Linked DNA regions of Drosophila melanogaster. The protein of the gene in region 2 interacts with the protein of the main gene of each other region in a pairwise test. Each region holds a gene or a part of one and is shown on either strand. Other genes may lie near its edges.

What was found.
Region 1: the proteins of CG1309 (region 2) and ms(2)35Ci interact in a two-hybrid assay, tested with the Drosophila melanogaster proteins (one large-scale study listed by BioGRID).

Annotation. Positions count from the first base shown.
Region 1 is NT_033779.5:15,290,302-15,294,713, reverse strand, and holds ms(2)35Ci (male sterile (2) 35Ci), read right to left. Parts: upstream 2,247-4,412; 5' UTR 2,036-2,246; intron 1,979-2,035; 5' UTR 1,978-1,978; coding exon 1,768-1,977; intron 1,706-1,767; coding exon 1,567-1,705; intron 1,506-1,566; coding exon 1,453-1,505; 3' UTR 578-1,452; downstream 1-577. Other genes in the region: CG15260 (uncharacterized protein), read left to right, coding at 2,541-3,233.
Region 2 is NT_037436.4:4,257,503-4,262,345, forward strand, and holds CG1309 (uncharacterized protein), read left to right. Parts: upstream 1-1,927; 5' UTR 1,928-2,040; coding exon 2,041-2,166; intron 2,167-2,241; coding exon 2,242-2,555; intron 2,556-2,606; coding exon 2,607-2,758; intron 2,759-2,865; coding exon 2,866-3,469; intron 3,470-3,535; coding exon 3,536-3,803; exon of another isoform or gene 3,804-3,859; coding exon 3,860-3,970; 3' UTR 3,971-4,141; downstream 4,142-4,843. Other genes in the region: CG15011 (uncharacterized protein), read right to left, coding at 1-18, 82-213, 270-386, 444-560, 614-772, 834-1,444, 1,511-1,625; CG11586 (uncharacterized protein), read right to left, coding at 4,221-4,702, 4,762-4,843.

The DNA.
Region 1 (4,412 bases), on a different chromosome or scaffold from region 2:
GGATGGGATGGGATGGGATCCCGATTCCGATACAGATACAGATACCCCAAGGATGGGGGCAATCCGCCTTGTCCCTGCCCATTCGCATCAGAAATTCAATAAAATACCATTAAATTACAAAATGAAGACAATTCATTTTTCTTGTTTTCCTTATTTTCGATTCGCCTCAATGCGATTGCATTTTGTTTCTTAAAGTAGGAGCATTTACTGTCGCTTTGCGGTTATAAGCAATAAAGTATTAAAATCCTTTTGGCTTATAAATGTTGAAAGCGACATTTATCGTAATATTTTATGAAATCAGTGAATTTTCGGTGAACGTTGCAAGTTGAATTGCAACTTAGTTGCCGCTGCAAAATTGACTCGCTGGGTATTCCGGGTTCTATTGTGCGGCCATAAAACTGGAATGATGGATGTTAGTTGGCCTGATGTTGAATCCACAATTGAGGCTTAATTTATCTTGATGTACTTGCTGCTCTCAGTGGGTTGACAAGGTCAAAGATTATGGTTCCGATTCGCTGGTGATGTATGATCATTGTTTATGTTGAAAATGACCCGAATGGTATTGTATAGAGACATTGTTTTTTAAGATTTTATTTCGAAGAGTAATTCTACTGACTTATTTTTTAAGCGCTTTAAACAACAACTTAAAAAGTTGCTTACATTTTACAGGGCATCCCGAAGTAATTGCACCGAATCCAACCAACAAGGATCATAATTCCGGCCATAATCGAATACCAGCTGAGGAAAAATGGAAAGGTACGGTTCGGGCCAAGAGTAATGGCCAAGGGTTGGCCAGGGCAACGCCCATCACATACTACCGAATCGAATCCGGGGCGATTTTTCTTATTGCCTTCAACTTTGCACTGCCAAAAATACACATAAACATACCATGGCCCAGAAATAAACAAAAAAAAAAAAAGCAAGACAGAAAACGAAAATACTGCGAGCAAGGCGCACTTTCAATTAATCAAGGAAATTAATTAAGCCCCATGGATGGATGGTGGTGCAAACTGCGGTTCACTGACCAGCCAGCGAGCAGCACGCCTGCCCCATTGCAACATAATTTTCATTTGGCTCAGCATGCGTTTTCATCGTCGCGGTTATCATTTGGACATTTGGACTGGGACTGGGACTGGGACTGGGACGTGGACTTGGACTGGGGATTCGGAGTCGGAGTCGGATTCGTATTCGGATTTCGGATTGGAGCAGCGTTGAGCTGCAGCCTGGTCAATTAGCACGCATGTAGCTCGGCGGGCGCTGGCGGGGCGATAATTAAACGCAGGTCGCTGAGGTTCGGTTGCCAATCCGCTGGTGACAATTGGCCACGATTTATGCACGGCGCGGATTGCGCAACATTTTCCAAATAAATTTTCGCGCCTAATCGCGCACCACAAAATGCTACATGCTGCGCCCGGTCGGTTGCCTGGGTTAATGGGTAATCGGAGTGGTTCACTAAACCTCCGATTGGTAGTAGCTCAGCACGATCACGACGTCCGCAGATACAACTGTGGGCGATTTTTTTTTTTTTTTTGAAGTAGATGTGATCAAGAGGGGGCCATCACTTACAGGCAATCATAATGAACGCATAGGATATCAAAACGTAATCGGTTCTGCCAAGGGAGGCAATCACCATGTGATTGGTCATTTCGAGCATCAGGCCACAAAGAGAAGTCACCAGATGAACTGGCAGCAAATGCGGATTTTCCTGAAACAAAGGATGCTCAGATACCTAGTGATGCTAAATGTATCATGGCAGATTGATCTTACCCGAAAAAGTGCAGTCAAAAGAACCAATGCGGAAATGATATTCCAAATGGTGGAAATTATCCAGAGGAGTAGTATATCAGCGCAATATTGCGACTTAGTATATATAGTCGCTACTGTATCTAATACATCCATTGTAAGACCTGCGTACGCAATTGAAAATGCGCCAATTCTTAGACTAAAACAATAGCAGAACTTCTTGATTATTGGCATTCTGAGTTCAGAAGGAATTTCTTAGCGAGTGGATATAATTTCTATTTATTTCACATACGTGACAATTCTAACGTCCTTTTGATGAAGTCTCTTCCGAGCTCCATTTCTGTTGCCAGGTATCCGAGGACCCTACAACATTTGACAATTTTTCGAAGGAACTCCTTTGAAATTATGCGGATTGCCGGACTTTCCTTAGTGTCTTGTGTGCATTCAAATTTTGTTTATCTGAGAAAATATTTGACAACATTATAAAAGGTGCTTATTCCAACTAATAGGCAGTAGAACAATCAATTTAAAGTAACAAGCTACAAAACTTAAAAAAATTTTGACCTTCGGAGGGAATCTTGGTATTACAATAAACCTAGTCGTGTTTTATATACTTCTGCAAATTTACAATTACCAAAAAACTATGCATACAATTCTCTGAACTAATATATATAACACTGCACAGTGTCCATTTCCCTTTCAATCAAAAATCAAAGGTTTTTTTGCCATATCATGTGTATTCAGATATAATTCAACTAGTTTGTTTCCAAATTAAAAGTAAAGTAAAATCCTCCGGAATGAAGCGAATTGTGCCACTTTCAGCAGACTTATTAAGTGACATAATGACCCACCGGAATGAGTATCACACACCACCTGGGCATTATATAGAGGCAGAACAAGTGGGTGATAACAGAGGACTATATGCGGCAACCAGTTCCCCCCAATTCTTGCCATCGGATGCGAGGCAACGCACTGATGGATTTGCCGATGGACCCATTGTGGCGACCACTCCCGTTTCAGAACTGACACCCAGTGAGGTACTGACCAGACTTGAGGCACGCCTGGATTTCTTGGCGGCGGAAGTGCAAGAACTGCGCAAGTTGATACCTAAACCAATCAATCAGAATGAGGAGCCCTGCACGAGCGGGTCATATGGCTTAAAGCGCTCTCAATCCGATCTATCGTTGATCCTTAAGTCGAGCTCGGACCTGAGACTCATCAATTCCTCCAACGATCTGCATCTGCGAGGGGAGCAGTCGCTGGACAAACGCAATCGCAAGGGGCAGTTGTACCGCGACATGCAGATGCATCTGACCAATATGATAGTCGTGCCCAAGTCACGCACCTCACTGTTTCTCAACCAGCGAAAGGAATTGAACTCCCAATTGTGCCATTGGCGGCATCAATATTCGGATGAGGATTGGATGCAGAATTTCCAGAGCAGCTCCACGGAGGCCGAGCGGCGCTTCAAGAATGTGCGTCGTCAGTGAAAGTAAAAGATTTCTTTGCTTGCCTCCTAAATAAAATTGAGAAATTGTGCCTGTCATGTGTTGGTGGTTATGGGGGTATCGGCGTTCGGAATTTTTCGGGAAAAGCTTTTAGCTGGGACATCTATCTGCGGTTAGGGCTAAAACAAAAGCCATGTTTTGCTACGGCACAGTTTTTTCATACCAATGTTAGCTTTCTTCTATGGCATCTCCCTCGAAGGTTTAAGATCCCATTTCACTAAGTTCGCTCAAGAAAATAAATATTAGAATAAGTTATTGTTAAATGCGTATCTTTAGTATTTTTCCCTTTCATAATTTGCCATCATCATTTTCACCAAAATCGCTGATTTTTTCCATAGTGTTGCTGCAACTTTTACCCATTTGACAGCAATTTCCCTGACATTGCATGTCGATCAGGCGAAAATCCTGCATTCGCATTCTCCCGCTGCCAACATTTGCCAATTTGGGCTGGAAAGTAATGATTTTTATTACTGCAGCGGCAGCATTGAAAACTTCCCCATCTGGAGTCACTTCGTCATGTTCGTGGTGCAGCGATAACCGCGGGCTCTTTGCATTTTGGCCAAATATTAGCACACAATTCGATTTTGCATGCCAGCCTCCTCCTCCTTCTTCCTCCAGGTGGTGGATGAGGCGGTGGAGCAGGAGCAGGAGCAGGGTCTTCGGGGAGACCAGTCAATTTCCACGAGTGCAAGTGGCGAGTTTTCCATGACACACCATGATCTCTCCACTGTCCGCCGGCAGCTGTGCGCTTTTCGCTTTCACCTGTTGGCCTGAGTTATGTAAAAATCCACTGTCAAATTAATGGTGATTTATATATGCGGTTTAATGGGCACTTGGCATGGGATGCGGGTACTCCGTTTACGGGGATCATGAGCGTAGTGTGAATGTGCTGAACAGATTGGCCTTAAACTGTTGCTGTGGCTGAATTATTTTGAATAAGCCGCGAAAGGAGACCAAAATGATCAGTACATCATTTTAAAAGTGGAGTAGAAAGGTTACAATGTGTTACCATAGTTTAGTTTTCCAGCTAAAAAGACATCCATGGCTGACCAAGAATATAATATTAATGAATAGTGTTTAAAAACTACATGTTACATTGGTAAACCTTGTAAATTGCTTACACATATTCAGCTTAATTTAGAAAAACTTTAATTTTCAATA
Region 2 (4,843 bases):
ACACTGGTCCCCACAGCACTTTAAAAAAGGTTATTGGTTAATTCGGCTGTATACATTTAAAATGCTTGCGTGCTCTTATACCTTTCTATTGCATGCATGCTTGCCGCAATCACGCATTTGCTTGCATTTAGTCTCGCATGCAAACTCTTTGGAGCAGGGCAACTCCTTTTCGTGCAGACCACAACGACACTTCTTTTTGGTTCTTATTGGGCACTGTAAGAAACATATTTCATTAGAGAATCGATTTGCTTCCCTGGTGGCTATCTTACGGAAATGCAAGGTCCACGATGACAACGCTGGGTGCAAGTGTGCTGGCCACAGGACAAAAGTTTTTGGCACGTATCGCCACAGGTTTCCTCTGTCTCATTACAGGGTCTTACCTGGGTCTACAGAATTAGGTAATCATAAATGAATATAAACTTGTAAATAAATATATCACATACATTCTTGCCGCATGGGCAACTCCTGACTTGCAAAGGACACTCTCCATCTCCGCAGGGTCCAGCGTGACACACCTTCTCGCAAATGTGCAAACCACAAGCAAATGGAGCTCCACAAACCTGAAAGAATATTAATGTTGTTTTATGCTTCAGCTTCAAAAGGCTTTTCTTACATTCTGACACTTCCATTTCCGATCGGAGCAGTTGACCATCTTCGACTCCCGCTGGCACTCGCAAGGTTGTAAGCTTTTGCTGGTGCATGGAGGACACTTTCCTGGCTGATGACACACCTGATTACATTTGTGCTTGCCGCAGGCTAGAAGTTCCTTGCACTGGAAAATCATTTTTTTAGTATGGTGGTCAGACAAAATTTCTTAAAACGTTAAGACTTACAGTCTGCTGACACGTCCACTGCTTGTCAATGCACCTCACGGACCTAGGACTAGATTTACCACACAGGCACGAGACCTGCGCCTGCTGCGCACAAGGAGGACATGGCCCCGGATGACATAGCAGCTTGCAATCGTGCCCACACTTCGGTTGCAAAAGCTTTCCGCAGTGCTCTCCGCATGAGTGGGGCACAAGGAAGGGCTGGTTCTCGGGGTTCACCTCCTTGCCGCAGAAGCAGTTGTACTGCGTGGGCTTATCGGCCGGTTGGTAGTCCCTGCGGCACTTGGGGCAGCACCAGTGAAGGGATTTCTGTCGCTTGGGCGGCACAAATTCGCCCAGATGATTGTAGTGGCCCTGGCCGTTCTGCTGCTCTGCCGCCTTTACCTTCATCTGCATCATGCTGTCGTTGGCCCACCGTTGGATGCACTTCAAGTGAAAGAAGCAGTAACAGCTCTCGCAAGACCAAATGGCCTCCACCCGCCGAATGCTTCCGATGCAAATGAGACAGGTTGCCGCTCCCGAGTGTAGAGTGTTTTCCAGAAACGTACTGGTGCGTGCCGCTTCCTTTGAGCTTCCTGCGTTGTCCGACGGTTTGTAGTTCTTGTATAGGAGTTCTGAAAAGATAAAGCACAAAATTTGATGGTTTTCAAATGACACGTCACAAGCATCGGTCGATTTACCCAAAATGTGATTCTCATCCAGTTCGCCTTCATCCTCGGAGCTGGAGGCGTAGGTGTCCACCAGTTTTTGGGCGGCAGCCAAATTTTTAGCTTGCGCTTTATTAAACTTTTCCATTTTTAAGCCGGCGTTTTTGTCTATCAACTGGGAATAAATTCCTGGGGTAGAACCAGGGATGGCTCGTTCTCTGATAACAGCAATTAGGGGATCTAGTTCCGAAAGGTACACATTTGTGTGAGCTTTCAGTTTCCAATTGGGAATTTCATTTAATTCAAAAAAAATACATACATACACATTAATACCTAAATTATCAAACATCCTCTCTGCATATTTTATTGCATTTAATAATTTGGACCAACATTTTGAAGTTTACAATTAATAGGTCAGGTATCTAATGTGGCAGCCCTGGTATTCGATGTTAAACATCTGTTCGTGAGTGCGACACCCTGGAACAGCTTTCACATCATTTGCAACAAAATAAAATAGAGAAAATTAAATATATCCAGACATACCGACTACGATCCGATCCAAGATGAGTTTCCTAAATTACGTGTTTGGCCCCAACCTCTACATGGAATACCGCGGTGTGCCGGAGCCGCAGCGCAAGATGTACGAGGCAGGTGCCGTGGAAAAGTTCGGGGAGCAGATTCTATCGACGGTAAGTGCCCTGCGATCCCATGGGGCAGAATCTGGAGCATATGGTAATGTGGAAAATCGACACTCTCCGTTGCAGCTATCGGTTATGTGGTCCGTGGGCTATTATACTTCTCCGCTGCTCGTCACATTCCTATACCGACGCGGCTACCTGGTGACCGATTCCATACCGACGCTGGCCAAGATCACCACCAGCGTGGGCCTCATCGTCATCCTATCGCTGGTGATGCGCGGCCTGGGGCGCAAGCAATCGCGCTCCTACTCCAACATGATTAAGGCCCTCGTCCGAGCAAAGTCCTCCAAGGCACCAGGAGATGCCAACAGCGAGCTGCGTCGCTTCGACATCGAGTTCAACGCTTGGCCGGTGGACTTTGATGTGAAAGCTCTAACCGGGTGAGTGGGCTACGCCTTTGAAGTGTGCCAGAATAACATCTTCGTTTTCAGTGATACCAAAAAGCCGGTGGTTACGGCTAGAAGGCGGGAGCCCATCCAGCTGGCGACACTGCCCTGTGAGGCCATCGCCTACCTGGCCATAAACACCTTTGGGCTCTCCATGATCTATCCGGGTTCGGTCAAACTACTCCAGAAACTTATGAGTAAGAAAGATATACATATGTGAAGCTGTCTGAAATGTTGTTAAATTGCAATCCGATAAGCCCATAAGATAGACTTCTACATATACTGAACCTAAAATATTTTGCAGGACCCATGCTGATCTCCGGACGCGCCAAGCTCATCGAGGATGACAACGGCATCCGCTACAAGGTTAAGACCATTGACTCGAACGAAATCGATACGTTGTTCATTGACAATCGCCCAAACAACGTGGGAAATGGCAAGACTCTAGTCATTTGCTCCGAGGGCAATGCCGGTTTTTATGAAGTGGGCATTATGGCCACCCCAGTGGCCTTAAAGTATTCCGTTTTGGGCTGGAATCATCCCGGATTTGCCGGCAGCACAGGCACTCCTCATCCCCACCAGGACAAGAACGCCATCGATGCCGTGGTGCAGTTTGCCATCAACAATCTTAGGTTCCCCGTAGAGGATATAATTTTGTATGGCTGGAGCATTGGTGGCTTTAGTACACTATACGCTGCCTCTGTGTATCCGGATGTCAAGGGAGTGGTACTAGACGCCACCTTCGACGATGTGCTCTACTTGGCCGTTCCTCGCATGCCAGCTGCACTGGCGGGCATTGTCAAGGTAGCCATTCGAAACTACTGTAATTTGAACAATGCCGAACTGGCCAACGAGTTCAATGGACCCATATCCTTTATTCGCCGCACTGAGGATGAGATCATTGCAGAGTGAGTGATAACTTTTGCATTTGGGCAGAGGTCTTTCCTAAAACGTAACCCATTGATTTCCATTAGGGACAACCACATTGACACAAACCGCGGAAATTTCTTGGTCTTGTCAGTGCTCAAGCACCGGTATCCCAACATTTTTGGGGCTTCCCAGTTGAATAAGGCCAAGGGGCTGCTGTCTAAGCCCCTGGAACCATACAGTATCCCCGTCGCCGACGAGAAGCTGTGCATGTCGCGCCTGATCACCTACGCCTCTGACGAGGGCAAGTCATTCCCCATGAACATTGGAGCAGATTACTCGGAGGAGGTGCGCAATCTGATGGCTGTGTTCTTGGTGGGTTTATTCGGCAGTTTAAATGGTCTATATATCTAATACTGTTCACCTTTCAGCTGCGCAAGCATTTACGTGACTATAACTCGACGCACTGCACCCAGCTGCCCGGGGAGTTCTTTACCATGCCGTGGGACATACCCACTGAGCAGGGATTTGTGTTCACCTAAGCTCATTCCGCAGGTGATCCACGGCCGTATGCTTAGATTTAGTAAAATGGTTTTTAGTAATTTTTGCCTTCTGACTGCTTATTAAATTATTCTAACTGGGAACAGCCGGGTAGCTGGTGTCTTCTGAACTGGTGTGAAATTATATACAAAATAAATGTCACAAGCTAAACTAGACGCGTCGTCTTGTGGTTAGTTTCTATTTCATGGTACAGCTAAAATTGGAGGGGAGGGGCAGTTCAACACTTAGTTCCTACGAGTTCTTCTTTGATCCACCGAAGCCGGAGAAGCCCATGATGGCGGCCATGTCGTCGGGCATGCCGCCGGACTCGAAGTCCGTGTCCTCGGCCTTGCGCTTCCGCTCTTTTCGCTTCTCCTTGCGGTGTTCCTTGTAGCGATCCTCCTCCTCCTTGGCCTCCCGCAGGCGGCGCTCGAGCTCGTAGTCTTTCTGCTTCTCCTCCATCTTCTTCTTGTTCTGCTGGAAGCGCTCCTTTACCTGGTCGACGGTGCTCCGCTCCACCTTCATGGACATGCCCAGATTGCGCTGGTGCTTCTTGCCATTGATGTGGTCCAGAAAGTTGATGGAATCCTTGACCACGCAGTCGCAAACGTTGCAGTAATAGCCACCGGATTGCGAGGTGGGTGTGTTCTTGTTGATGACAACGCTCTTGCCCAGCTTGCTGTCCAGGTCCACCTTATAGTCGCGTCGCTTGAGGTTCTCCCGCTGTACGGGTTCTGGTGAAAAACAAAAAGACTTTTATTATGTGTGCCTTCCAGGGAATTTAGACACTGACCTTCTTCCTTGGGTGCCACCTGGTTGAGCAGCCGCTCCGCCGCCAGCTTCTCGTACTCGTTCTTGTCCCATTTCCTTCGGTG